Canis lupus familiaris: one gene and its partners. The protein of the gene in region 1 interacts with the protein of each later gene in a biochemical or structural test. Links are inferred from orthologs where the notes say so. Each region holds a gene or a part of one and is shown in the gene's direction. Other genes may lie near its edges.

Region 1 (4,070 bases):
GTCCCTGTGCCTTGACCCGCCTTCTCTGTCCACCCCAGGGTTTCTTTGTGTCTGTATTCTACTGTTTCCTCAACAGTGAGGTAAGGATGCCGGGGCCCCAGAGCTCAGGATGGTGGGGGGTGGGGGACTTCTGGGACCTGAGATTGTCTATAGCCTCCTCCTGCCCTCCACATGCCAGCTCCTCCTCCCTGCCCCCAGGTCCCTAATGAGGATGCAGCCAGGAGCCCCAGGAGGGCCCCTGACACCTGCCCACACTGCTCCTATAGTGGCAAGCCCACTGCTTTGCTCCCATAGGCAGTTGGCACAGGGAGTCAGAAGTCAGGGCTTCAGTCCCATCGATGAGTCTGTGAAAATGCTTGTTGAAAACAGGAAGGGCTAAGCCCTTGGGCAGGGCATGCATATGTGCTGAAGGTAGGAATTCTTTGTGGCAAAGGCCATCGGTGCCTCTGTGTGGATGGGAAAAAGTCTTCTCTTCTCAGAATACTTGCAAAAATCATCCTAACAAATAGGCAAATAATGTTGATGACATGCATGGCACCTCCTCCTGTGTGGCCCCCTTTGCGTTTCACACCTGCGTACTGCACGCCTGCAGACTGCTCACGTGTACTGCTGCTTGTGGCAGCCCTAGGGGATGGAAGGGAGTCCTGAGATCCAGGCTCAGACACCATGCTCTGCTCTGTGCCCACAGGTCCGCTCTGCCATCCGGAAGAGGTGGCATCGATGGCAGGACAAGCACTCGATCCGTGCCCGCGTGGCCCGCGCCATGTCCATCCCCACCTCTCCCACCCGTGTCAGCTTCCACAGTATCAAGCAGTCCACGGCAGTCTGAGCTGGAGGGCCACGGAGCGGAAGATGGTCTCCAGGCTTGGCCAGCTGCCCTATCTATGGAGGGGACCAAATCCTTCTCACAATCTGTATCCCCAGAAGCATCTGGCACTGACAGCGTGGGCCCCACCCCACCCCCCCGGCCCCGGAATGAGCAGGAGTTCTAGGCCTATGAGAGCAGCCATAGTCTGGGCCATGGGATGAATGGGAAATAACCTATAGGATTGGGCTGGGCCCAGGGCCTCTGGCTCCCTTGTGCCCCAAGTCCTCCCCGGAGATGGAATGAGAATGGAGTGGAGATGGCCAGCCAGAAAATCCAAGGCAGCACAGAGGTCCTTCCAAGAGGCGTCTTCTCCCAGAGCACAAGATGGCCAGCCTCCTGGAGACCTGGGGCCTGTCCTCAGCAACTGCAAGGCACCAATTGCTGCCCTAGGAGCATCATGGGAAACTCCTGTGACAGCATCCCAACCACCGTGATGATGCCTCTGGGTGTTGGCAATGCCTTCTAATACCAGTGGGAACCAAAGCCAGGTCACCAGAAAGCCCTGGCCATGTCATTAGAAACCAGGTGACATCATCAGACAGTAGGCCACACCACAAGAAATCCTCCCAAGCCACCATAATTTCATCTGGCACTGTGGCACTGCCATCAGAAATGCCCTGTCTCGCTGCCTTGTACCCTTGGACCTTTATGCCCTGCAGGCCACTCAGCCCCCCGCCCCGGTCCTTAACCACCCACAATACCCACACCCTGATGTGTCACCTCCTGCCCCTGGTGTCTCCCCCTGTGTGGGAAGTGGGGGTTGGAAGGAGATGGAGTGTCCTGTGAGCAAGAACCAGGGTGTGCCCCAGCCAAAGCCAGTCTCCCTTTTAGAGAACAGAGAATGCTCTGGGCCATCCTGCCTGCTGGTGTCAGTGGTCTGGCATCTGGGGCAGCCTCTCTACTGGGTACAGGGGGTTTCTGGTGCCTGGATGACCTCTGGAGCAGCATGATTAGCTAAGCAAAGATAGAAGGGGCAGGGGACTTGGATCCTCTCTGCCTGAGTGTCCTGGAGCAAGACAACTGGTTCTCGGGGCAATCAGCAGCCCCCACTGGACCCTCCTGTGTCCAGAGTACTGGGCCACTGGAGCCAGGCCTTGGGAGATAAGGTGTCAGCTGTGAGGGGGTGGCTGCTGTAAATAATAATATTTATCTTTTCAACCAGCATCTGTGAAGGTCTGGACTATGCGGGGTTGGGTGGGAAGGGCACAGCAGAGAAATGGAGGCCACTTTTCAGTCTGGGGCCAGCCAGCCTGTGGCTGGGAAACCTGACACCATTCACACCCATCCCGATGGGGTGCTAGGTGAGCCACTGGGGGCATGGGCCTGCGGACGCAGCTGACAAGGACGGCTCTTAAAAGGGATGAGTCATAGGGAGAGAAGGGCCACAGGTGAGCAGTGCTGGCCAAGGACACTAGAGGGGTCAGGGCCCATGGCGACAGCTCTAGCCAAGGTGTGGCAATGGGACCAGGCAGGAATGTCTCCCAGCCCCAAGGGAAGGGCCAAGCTGGAAGCAGGAAGTAGAGTTAAGGAGGCCTTGACACTGTCTCAGCTTGAGAGCCCCAGAAACAGAGCCAGAGACAAGGTTTCCAGAACCAAGTAGGGAAGGGGAGCACGGGGAGCGGGTGGGGGCGGGAGGCCAGGCCAGGGAGGCGGCCGGAGCAGGGGTGCCCACACCACAGCCACTACTAGGGGCAGCTGGAGCATAATCCTACTGCAGAAGCCCGAGGGGGCATCCCCGCCTTCAGCCCACCTGAGGGGCCACAGGGGAGGAAGGCTGCCCCCGGGGGTAGGGAGCACAGGGGCCACATGACAACAGAGACACAGAGAGAGAGATACACACTGAGGGAGCGTGCACAGGCACAGCAGGGTGTGGTGGGAGGCAGCCTGAGGGCAGGAGAGGGGGTGGGACGTGGAAACTCCACCCTGGCACACAGGGACCAGGGACTCGGGGAGGGGACCAGAGGCACCAGGACAGAGACAGGCTGATGGCCCCAGGAAGGGACCAGAAGTGCCTGAGGAATCTCAAACGGGCCACAATTGAGGCATCTTTCTCAACTGTTATTCGCCCAGTGAAGAAGTGAGAAAGCAAGGCTTCTCCTGTACGAGTTGGGCTGTGGGGACAGGGCTCCCCAAGGACAGAGCAGCCTGGGAGGAGGAGGAGAGGACATTGTAAGGAGGTTGCTTGGACAAGAGGTCCTGGGTGGGGGGCAAGCTGAGGCAGTGTCCCTTCTGCTTGTGCCTCCTTCCAAGCACCTACTGTGCATTCGAAACTGCCAGGCCCAGCACAAGGCGGGGAGATGAGTAGCCCCCCGAGATGAGTGCCAGCAGCCAACTGCAAAGCCTGGAGCTGCCGGGTCTTGAAAGCCATCAGAGGACACCTCCAGGACGGGGCTGACAGTCATCAGAGGAGCTCCTGGGGGAAGTGGGGGGCAGGCAGGGGCTGGTCCAGATGAGCCTCAGGACACCTCCCATTCAGAGACTGTAAGGGAGGAGGGGCTGCTTCAGGAACATCTGGGCCCCAGAGAACTGTAACTCCTCTGCGGGGGTGGGGGAGGGCAGGTGCCCAGGGTATAAGCCTGTCACAGCCCAGGGCTCAGGAAGCAGGGTGAAGGCAGGCCCCCAGATGGGGTTTCTGAGGGTCATTGTTCCCTGAGGTTCAGCCTGAGGGTATAAGGGATGGATACACATGCCACTGTGCTGGGGCAGAGGCCTGGCAACCACAGGGGGAGGGGGTCACTGCAGGACAGACCGCTCCCTCAAGCCTGGAGGCCACAGTCCCCTGGAGTACCCCATCCGAGCCCGTTTCTCCTTGGGACCCTCCTTCATGGGCACAGATCCCCAGGGGAGGAAAATCCCCACTGTGTGGTTTCCATTTCGGGCTCCTCCACCTCTAAGTGTGATGACAGGCCCCTGCCCTGGGGTCCTCAGCATCCCCTTCAGGCCTCCTCAGTCCTCCTGCTGCTGCTGGGTCAGATGCCCTAGGATAGGGCAGGGGAGGGAGCCAGATGTGGGAAAACATGTGCTAAGGAGGCAGGGAGGTTTTAGAATCCAGGTAATAACACCTTAATTGTGGGCATTTGTAAACTGCTTTGCAATCTGTATAATCCTTTATGATATCATCTAATCCTCAAGTAACTCAAGGAGGCAGAACCTTCCCATTCTACAGCCAAAGACACTGAGGCCTGGTAATTCCTCTGAGATC
Region 2 (4,538 bases), on another chromosome or scaffold:
TTCTGTGGCCCGGAGGGATATCATATAGTTTGGTATTTTGTTGGGAAAGGTGTTATGTACTGGGAACAGAGCCATGTTTTTTGTTTTGAAAGATGCAAATATTGGCACAGTCAACATCACACAGGCCCCCCCTTAACTGACAAACCTAAACCCTAGGTCACATGAGGAAGGCGCTTAATCAGCAATGTTGGAATAGCCTGCGATGCTGGCAGTGACCAGGGCTCCCTCACCTGGGTGTTACAGAGGCCCACACCACCCAGCTCGCTGGGTACTTGCAGACCAAAGGCCCCCAGCTCCTTGAGGCCTTGCAGTGTGGTCTCCTCCACCTTCTCCAACGTGTCATTCTTGGCAGGATCGTTCACTTCCTGGAGAAGGCACAGGATGTCGCATCCAGGTTCCTTTCTGGCTGCTGAACACCTCTGCCATCCCATCAGGGACCAAAGCCCTCTGTTCCCCCACCCCAGTCCTTCCTCACCTCAAAGAAACGGGACACAGGCCCCACCAGTTCTTTGAGAAACTGGGTCTGCTCCTCACTGAGTACTGTGGGGGAGAAGGACAGGCTGGTCAGGTCACCGGGGAAGTGGAGAGGCCCTGCCCTGCCCCGCCCCGACGACTACTTACCAGATGGGTAAGGGAACACCTGATCGGTGGTGAGCTGACCCTTGAACATCCCCGCAGCAAAGGACTTGGATTCCTGCTCAGGGAGAAGGGGGTTTCAGCGAGCTGTCTGCTGCAGTGGGTGAGCCCCTGGCCTAGGTCCTCCCGGTATGGAGGCCACGTACCGCCTTGGCCTGCTTCTCTCTGGTCGGAGCCTCAGAGGAGTGGGAATCTGACTTCTCCAGAACCGCCTGGGGAAAGGGACAGTTAGCGAGGCCCGGTAAGGGACTCCCGAGGAGCTGGAGACCACGGGAAGCGCTGGGTGCGGGCGGAGGCGGACGCAGCGACCTTTCCCCTACTTCCATCGTCAGGGCACCCTGGCCTGCCCTTTCCCCTACTTTCGGCGCTACCGCGGGCGCCAGGTGTCCGGGACGGAGAGGGAGACCCCTGCCGGCGGCGGGGAAGGGGGAGCCGAGGCGGACTCCGCCTCCCGCTCTGCGCGCCCCAGGCCGCCGTCACTCACCTGAGCGGCCCCACTGGCATAGGGTCGGCAGGCCGGACCGGGCAGGGGCTGCCCCAGGAGCGCGCTGGGCCGCGAGCTGTGGGGAGCGGGGGCTCAGTCCGGGTCCCCGGTCCCGCTGCCACCCCGGCCCTGCCCTCCTGTCCGACTCGCACCTTCCGACCCCCAGCCTCCGCAGCTGCCGCCCCACGCTCGGGGCCATCCGTGCCGCCTGCATCTCCCAACCACTCCGGTCGCCGCGGTCCTGAGCGCAGATCTAGCGCCGTCCACCCGTCTGCCAAAGACTGGCTGCCCTGGTCCGGTCTTGACTCATCGTCCACAATGCACCGGGGGGGCTGGGCTTCCGGCCGCCAGCGCATGCTGGGAGATGTAGTTCCGGGGCGGGGCCTCCCCCACCCCGCCCCTGCATTCTGGTTAACGTAGGGCTATCTCCAGACGTTTCCGTCTCTCCCAAACGCCTTCGTCCCACCCGGCCCAGCTCGAGTGTAGCCCTCGGAAGGGGCGATGGGATAGGCTGGGGTGGAAGGAGGAGCAGCTCAGGCTTTTGCAGCCGGAGGGATGGAGGGTGGGCCAACAGGAGGACTTCCCCGGTGGAGTTGGAAGGGAGAGGTGGGAGAAAAAAAATGTAAGACGGCGGAAGCAGGGGCAGATGACTCTATGGAGTCCCTTGTGAAACCCATCTCCATCAACACGAGAGGGAGGGACATGGTGGCGTGGGGCGGCCCAGGTATATTCTCCTGAGACCTGAGGTGTCACTAACTTTAGAAACACCTGAATTCTCACCGTAGGGCCCTCCCCTCCCTTCCCCTCTGCAAATTCACCGCCTCCCCATTGGGGCGCTGGAGTCTCTGCCCTTGTTTCCTCCTGAGACTGTGTGACATCCTGGACTCTTCCCAGGGGGAGTGGAACTGTAGGGATTCTTCTGTCGCCCACTCTCACCACACACACCTAGCTCTGGGTCAAGGAGTCCCAGGTCATGTATAGGTCATGTATACCCCTGCCCTGCTGACACACCCAGTGGGGAGAGGCCTGGGCTGGGGCTGCAGGAGCCTCCTTGGGGACACCCCTCCACCCCCACCCCCGTCCCCAGTGCCCAGTCCCTCTGGAAAGTGCAGCAAACTCACCCCTGGCTTTGGGAAGAGAGACCATTGTGCCAGGCGACCCAGGGGGTTAGGACAGGACTGCCCACTTCGGTGGCTAAAGGCTAAAGGCTGGAACCTGGTGGGGAGGCAGCTCAGCTCCAACCCTGGGGATTAGGGAGATTAAAATCAGAGAAGAGAGATGTCCGAGAGACCCAGAGGTGAAACTGGAGAGTCCCATGGAGGAAAGGCCTGGGGGCGGAGCCGAGTGGGGCTGGGACTTGAGGACCCTCCTGCTGATCCTTCCCCACCCCACTTAAGCCCAGGGAGAGGGGACAGGCTAGGGGAGGTGAGTGAGCCGCGCCTTGGTCCATGGGTCTCTTCCCCATCCCATTCCTCCCTCGCTTGCATTTCACCAGCTCCCCGGTCAGCCCTCTGGCTCCTGGCCCCCCCACTGTTGCGATGGGCGCCCCCTCTCTTGGCTGTCCTGCACAGTGACCTCTTCCAGGCCCTGCTGGGTGAGTAGCCCTGATTCTCTGGGGACGCTGGGGTGCGAAGGGCTGGCCTGGGCCTGCCAGGGCAGTGAACACACTTGGGGGACTGTCCGGTTGGCAGCCAGGAGGCCCTAAGGTGCCAGCAGCAGTCAGGGCAGGGGTGGGGGCAGGGGAGCCCCCCCAGGTGGGGTGGGGGAGGGTAACTCAGCTGTATTCTGGTGACAGACATCCTGGACTATTATGAGGCTTCCATCTCAGAGAGCCAGGTAAGGGGGTGAGGTGGGGCGCCTCCCCAGAGGGGCAGACAGGGCAGGGGCCGAGCTGCCGCCCCACCCTTGGGGGCCTTGAAGACAGACTTCTGAGCCCGGGGTGCAGAGAATCCCAGACTCCACGGTCCTGTTGGTCCCTTTCCCCTTCTGCTTCCCCGCCCCCCTCCTCCCTTGGCCCCAATTTCGGGCATAAGGAGTCCAGCACAGAATTACTTCTCATCCTTCCTCCTGTGCAGCCTGAGGGAGAGCTGCCCCCCCACCGGACTCCCCCCTGCCTGCCCCCCCAGACCCCCCCTCCCGCCAGCCAGCACTGCAACTAGCATGGGTGCTGCCAGCCCCACAGCGGGTGCTTCCTCTCCTGAGACCCAGGAGGCCTCCTGATCTCTGGCGCTGGTGCCTGGCCAGGCCTCCATCTTTGCCTTGGGGCCTGTCTGCCTCCGCTCTGCTCTCCTCTCCCATTATCCGGGTTCCTGCCAGCACTGAAGCAGTTAACTCTGCCAAGGCACCCCCCCATCCTCGCTCCTCGCTCCCTCCCTCCCTCCCCCTGCTTCCTCTCTCCTCCTCTCTCCCCTTCCCTCCTCGGCTCCACGGCTCCCTCGGCCGCTGCCGCCTCCAACCCCCCCACCCCACTCCCCCGCCGCGGCCCTAGCCCCTGGCCGGCAGGCAAGACCCCCCCCCTACCCCGGGGCTCCCTGAAATCCAGTTCCCCTCCCCCACCCAGCTCATGCCCCAGCCCCCGAACTCCGGGGCTGCCAGCCCCCGGTGCCCCCGCCCCTCCTGAGAATCGGGGTGTGCTCCCCAGGCCCCCTCCCCTCCACTGGGGACTCCCTTCTAGGGCCCCCTTCCCCTCCCTCCCACGCACCCCTCCCCTTCCCTTCTCCAACCCCCTCTTTCCCCTCTCACCCCTCCCCCCATCCTGGCCCCCCCTGCAAAAGTGGGGTGCGGAGGGGGGAGGGGTGAGAACCCACAGAGGGGAGGAACGAAACTCCGATGAAGTCAGAGCCCCTTACCCGCCGCCGCGGCCAGCCCCCCCAACATGGACTGTCTCTGTATAGTGACAACCAAGGTAAGCACGATAGGGGGGCTCTCAACTGGGGGGAGGGTATGAGTTTGTGGGGAGGGGTTAGGCAGGCCTGATCTGGGGCTGGGGGCTGGGAGTGTACTGGGGGGTCATGATTTACTTTGGGGGTTCACATTTGAGATCATGCTAGGTTTGGCCACAGGTGCCCCCTGGAGTGATCTCTTTGTACCTGTAGAGAAATGGAAAATTTGGGCTGTTTTGTGGTTTGGGGGGGCTGATGGGTTTTGGGGTTCACCAATGATGTTTGAGGGAGACTTATTTAAGGAGAAGCCTGGCTCACATGGGAGTCCTGCTCTTGTGCATTAGAAGGTGGACTGTGTGAGGGGGGGTTCTCTTCCCTCCTGAGGGACAAACTGGCTTCTGGGTGTCTCGTCCAATTTCAGGGGGCTCTTGGCATGGGGGTAGACGGTTATTGGCTGTGAGTGCCTGACTGGTCTGGGGGTGTCAGCTGGCAGAGGAGGGGTGGGCCTTCAACCTATAGAGCAAGCGTCTTGTGGT
Region 3 (4,766 bases), on another chromosome or scaffold:
TCAGAAATTTAACTGTTTAGAAAAGAGGAGAAAATGTAACTGGAGAGAGGTGGGCTGGAGAGTAATGTTATTGCCTGCCTGCTTTCCTCTGTCTCTCTCAATGGAGAGAGTTGAGAGCGCTGACTGAAAGGTTACCCAAGACACAGATGTGTTGAAGATACAAGGGATGAGTTTTCCCTTCATCCTAACTTCACCTTCATTTTCAAAGGACCCAGAGAAGATGAATATCCACAGATGCTAAAGAAATCTAGTCAGTGTTTTTATTTCCCTAGCGGGCAAATCTACACCGATGCCTACGTCTGAGAAAGCACAACGGGTCTCAGGCTGGGGGCACTCTCTCCACCCAAGGCATTTTGGCTTTTTTGCTCCCAGTCATTTGCAGGCAACTGATCTATTTTGAAGCCTTCTGAAAATATTCATTTAAAGCTCAACTCAGTTTCCCTCTGGGGCCTCGTATGTTTTGAAACCGTATTTCCCCTTAAATATTTGGTGAATATTTGAAAAATAGAATTGACTTTTTTTTCGTAGACCAAAAAATAAAAAAAATTTACAAGTCTGCTAAAGAAATCAGAACTTTCAATTCGGGATATTAAAAGAAATTCTTCTAAACATTTTAAGTTAGACTTCTGAGTATCCTTTAATGTATGTTCTTTTTTTGTTGTTGTTGTTACAGATTTTGTTTATTTATTCATGAGACACACACACACACACACACACACACACACACACACACACACACACACAGAGAGAGAGAGAAGCAGAGACACAGGCAGAGGGAGAAGCAGGCTCCACGCAGGGAGCCTGATGCGGACTCGATCCCAGGACCCCAGGATCAACGCCCTGAGCCGAAGGCAGGCACTAAACCGCTCAGCCACCCATATTCTAATATTAGATGTCCGTATTGAGAAAGGAAGGGATTTTCTTCTGCAGAAAAGATTCCTGGGGCTCAGGAATTGAAGGTATCAGAAACACAACCTTAAGCGGCACAAAATAGAGATGAATATGTCTTTCCTCGCACCATGCAATTCTGAACCCTTCTTTTATGTATATTGTTTCTGTCTTTTAATTGGATATGTCTAAGCAGCACAGTAACGTTCTAAAAGTTACTTAGAATGCGAGGTCATTAGTTCCACTCCCCATGCCTCATCGTTAAAGCGCTTCTTCTCATCACCATCCCATAACCGCTTAAATAAGCTACCCATACAGACGGCATCCACAAGGCAGTCCACATAATGAAATTTTAAGTCCTCAAAACCAGAAATAGGGGTTACCAGTTCCCACAGGTTGCCAGACTTAGGAACATAAGAGACCCCAGTTAAATTCGAATTTCAGATAAACAAGGAGCATTTCTTTTAGTGTAAGTACGTCCCAAGCATCCCAGGGGCCACGTCTGGCCAACATAATCACCGCTGCTTCCTGGGCAGTCGGGTCGACCGGGCGCCCCGCGTGCCCCCCCAGCCCCCCCCAGCCCCACCCGGGCGAGGTCCCAGAGCCCGCGCCCCGCACCCCAGGCCGAGCGCCCGCCGCGCAGGTTTAAAACCCAGGACCCGGGGCTGGGCCGCGCCCCCTGATTGGCCGAGGCGCGCCCGCCGCCCGCCGGCCGCAGGCGTCACGCAGCCCCGGCAGCCCGGGCCCCGCCGCCTCCTCCGCGGCAGCCCGGTCGGCGCAAGTGCGGCGCGCGGGGGAGGGGGCGCGGCGGAGCGGAGGCTGGCGTCGGGCCGCCGCCGGCCGGGCGGGCGGGATTAAGTTTCCCGGCGGCGCGCGAGTGTCGGTGCGCGTCTACCCCGAAGCTCCTCGCCGGGCCGTTACTCAGCGGAGAAGAGGGCGAGCGGGGACAGAGGCGCGGCCGCCGAGGCCCCGGCTCCCCGGCTCCCCGGCTCCCCGGCCCTCCGGCCCTCCTCCCCTGTGCGCCCCCGCCCGGGGCGGCCGCCGCCAGCCGGGTAAGCGGCGCCGGGGCCCGGGCCGGGAGGCGGGGAGGCCGGGCGCGCCCCCGAGCTCTGCGCGCGCCGGCCGGGAGGTGCGCGGGCGCCGGTCCGGGGCGCGGGGCGCGGGGCGCGGGCGCGGGCGCGGGCGCGGGGCTCGGCGGGCGGGGTGCGTGCGCCCCACCCCGCGCGGACGGGCGGCCCGGCTCTAGCAGGATGGGGGCTGGAAGTTTCCTTGGCTACTTGCTGGCCCCCGAGCTCCAGCCCCAGTCCGGGCAGCCCCCCAGCCCCCCAGCCCCCCCGCCTTTGCCCTTGCTGACTCTAAATGCTTTAAAAGTTTTTTTTTTTTTTTTTTTTTCTTTTTTTCTTTTTCTTCGCCTGGAGGGGCACGGGGATGGTGCCAGAAGGGGGAACCGCGGCCCAGGCCCAGGAGCCTGTTGCTCGCCGCCGGCGTGGCCGCGCCCCGGGCCGGACGCCCGCTCCGGGGTGACGCGGTGCGGGGCGCGTAGCGGGTGCGGAGAGAGCCCCCCCCCGCCCCCGCCCCCCGCCCCCCGCAGACCGGCGTCTCCGGCCCTGGCCGCCGGCCCCGAGCGCGCCGCTGATTGATGCCCGCCCCCGTCCCCCGCGGCGCCCGTGCCCTTTCATCCCCTGCCCCCCGCGGGGGGAGCTTGCGCTCTCGCCCCCCGCTTCGGCCGCCCCGCGCCCACGGGCCGCCTTTGTCTGCGATTCGCAGCCGGGGGTGCCGGATGTGCCTCGGGGAGCGCGGTTCCCAGACGCTTTGTGTCCTGGGAGTTGTGTGCGTGTGTGTCGGGGGTGGTGATGGTGTAAATTTTTGCTTGCGTTCTTTGCAGAGGCACAAAGGCCGGGCTATTCTTTCCAGCAGATCACATGGAAATGCAGGCTGGGACTGCCTCGCGTAGGAGGGGCCCCGCGACGGCGGGGGGTGGGGGGCGGGGGGGCGCTGCGCCGCGGCCGGGGGCGAGGCGGGGGCGGGGGCGGGGGGACGCCAGCTGGGCGGGTGGGGCTTGCGGAGCCTGCTGGGCTGGCGCGGACCCCGGACCCCGGACCCCGAGCGTGGGCGCTGCGTGTGGTGCGGGGAGGGTGCGGTGGCAGCTAGTGCTGCTTCGGTAGCATCAGACGAGAGGACCGTGACTTCAGCGTAGGTCGATACTCTCCATGTTCATTGGATGTCCAGAGGGGAAGACTCAGCAAAGTGACTAGACGCTGTCACCCAGCCTTGGTGGACAGCTGTGCTGTAAACATCCCTCTGTGTTTCCCTAGGCATTTCTTCTCATTTAGGTTGCCTTTTACAAAAACGAAACAAAACAAGAAACCAAAAAACCCCGTGATCTGAAAAACCAACGAGGTGATGGTTTGGGGCTTGGGAGTGTTTACACGCTGACTTTAGTATGGGTGACTACAATGAACTTTTTTTAAGGGTCACATGATCTATATTTGGTATATACTTGAGCGCCTGATAGAATTTAGGTTAAAAAAATGCATTTAAGAAAAACAAAACTTCCCGTTCCTAGGTTTGAGCTATTAATATAACGTAAAGCTCTGGATGGATGCTCTGGTGCCTTTGCCTGAAGGAGGAGCTAAGAGGGTTTAGAGGGTGGTGGGGATAATCTTGTCTGGGCTGCCCAGATTTCCTGCTAGCTAATGAGCTAGTTTACAAACGTGGTTTTTTTTCTAGATTGAGCTATATCCTCGCTCAGTTCATATTAGGGTCTTTTATTTAAAAAAAAAAAAAGATTTTATTTATTTATTCATGAGAGACGCCCAGAGATGCAGAGACATAGGCAGAGGGAGAAGCAAGCATCCTGCAGGGAGCCCGATGTGAGACTCCATCCCGGGACCCCAGGATCAGGCCGTGAGCCAAAGGCAGGCGCTAAACCAATGAACCACCCAGGTGCCACCATGTTAGGGTCTTTTAAAACGGAGGTCTCTAAAGTTAATGGGTCATAGGCCAAGTTGGCCAGCAGCAGCCTGTTTTCCCCTAAAGCGTAGGAGTTAGAAGTGGTTTGTGCAATTTTATATGGCTCAAAAAATCAAAAGAATATTATATCATGGCATGTGAAAATCATATGAAAATCAAATCTCAGTGTGCTGTTATAAGTAGAGTTTTATTGGCACACAGCCACACTCATTAGTATTGTGTGTGGTGGATTCTTACTGTCTCTGGCTCCTTTCACAGCAGCAGTGGGAGAGTTGAGTAGTTGCATAGTTGAGACACAGATACATAGCCTTCAAAGTATGAAAGAAAGTATGTTGCCTTTCTCTTATTCTTTACAGAAAAAATCGCCAACCTAGAGCAGGCTTTAAAAGAATTGCTTAAATACTTCCTCGTGTGATGGATGCATTGCTTAATTTCATTGCCTTTAACTGTTTCTGGTGTCCTCTGAAGTGGCTGACTTTTCCCAACTAGGTAGTCAGATTAAGTGAATGTATTGGATTTTCACATTTCCAAGTTTCACTCTCAGAAAGATTCTTAACCTTTTGATTCTTTTTCTTTTTTGTCAGAATCTAGGATAAAGTGAGTTTTCTGATTGGCAGAAATTATGTGTGTAGTTACTCTAATATAGATAGCCCAATTTCAGGGTGTTCTTCGCTGAGTTCTAGCGGCTTCTTGCTACTGTGCTACCTGAGCAGGTTTTGAGAATCACAGTTTTGTTCATTTAGGTGGAGAGCAGCTGGGGTTAGAGGATGTCAGGAATACGTTTTTGCAGGGAAGTTACCACTTTAGGCAAAGCTAGTTTGTGAGGGAGCTTGACTCTTCAACAATCCTCTTCCCTAAACCTTTGCTAAAACAAAAAAAAATGTTTATTCTCAACATATTACTAA

Evidence for each region. The genes of interacting proteins can lie anywhere in the genome.
Region 2: the proteins of CRHR1 (region 1) and DLG4 form a complex in vitro, tested with the Homo sapiens proteins (2 studies listed by BioGRID and IntAct, with this or other methods). The link is inferred for Canis lupus familiaris from reciprocal best matches to the Homo sapiens genes CRHR1 and DLG4.
Region 3: the proteins of CRHR1 (region 1) and MPDZ form a complex in vitro, tested with the Homo sapiens proteins (2 studies listed by BioGRID and IntAct, with this or other methods). The link is inferred for Canis lupus familiaris from reciprocal best matches to the Homo sapiens genes CRHR1 and MPDZ.

Annotation. Positions count from the first base shown.
Region 1 is NC_049230.1:17,153,004-17,157,073, forward strand, and holds part of CRHR1 (corticotropin-releasing factor receptor 1), read left to right. Parts: intron 1-38; coding exon 39-80; intron 81-688; coding exon 689-829; 3' UTR 830-4,070.
Region 2 is NC_049226.1:32,392,876-32,397,413, reverse strand, and holds the start of DLG4 (disks large homolog 4), read left to right. Parts: upstream 1-1,549; 5' UTR 1,550-1,675; coding exon 1,676-1,844; intron 1,845-2,519; exon of another isoform or gene 2,520-2,615; coding exon 2,616-2,714; intron 2,715-2,915; coding exon 2,916-2,956; intron 2,957-3,838; exon of another isoform or gene 3,839-3,995; coding exon of another isoform or gene 3,996-4,025; intron 4,026-4,538. Other genes in the region: ACADVL (very long-chain specific acyl-CoA dehydrogenase, mitochondrial), read right to left, coding at 231-365, 476-540, 622-694, 783-848, 1,121-1,196, 1,273-1,334. UniProt on the Homo sapiens protein: Postsynaptic scaffolding protein that plays a critical role in synaptogenesis and synaptic plasticity by providing a platform for the postsynaptic clustering of crucial synaptic proteins.
Region 3 is NC_049232.1:33,907,673-33,912,438, reverse strand, and holds the start of MPDZ (multiple PDZ domain protein), read left to right. Parts: upstream 1-1,777; 5' UTR 1,778-1,940; intron 1,941-4,766. UniProt on the Homo sapiens protein: Member of the NMDAR signaling complex that may play a role in control of AMPAR potentiation and synaptic plasticity in excitatory synapses. Promotes clustering of HT2RC at the cell surface.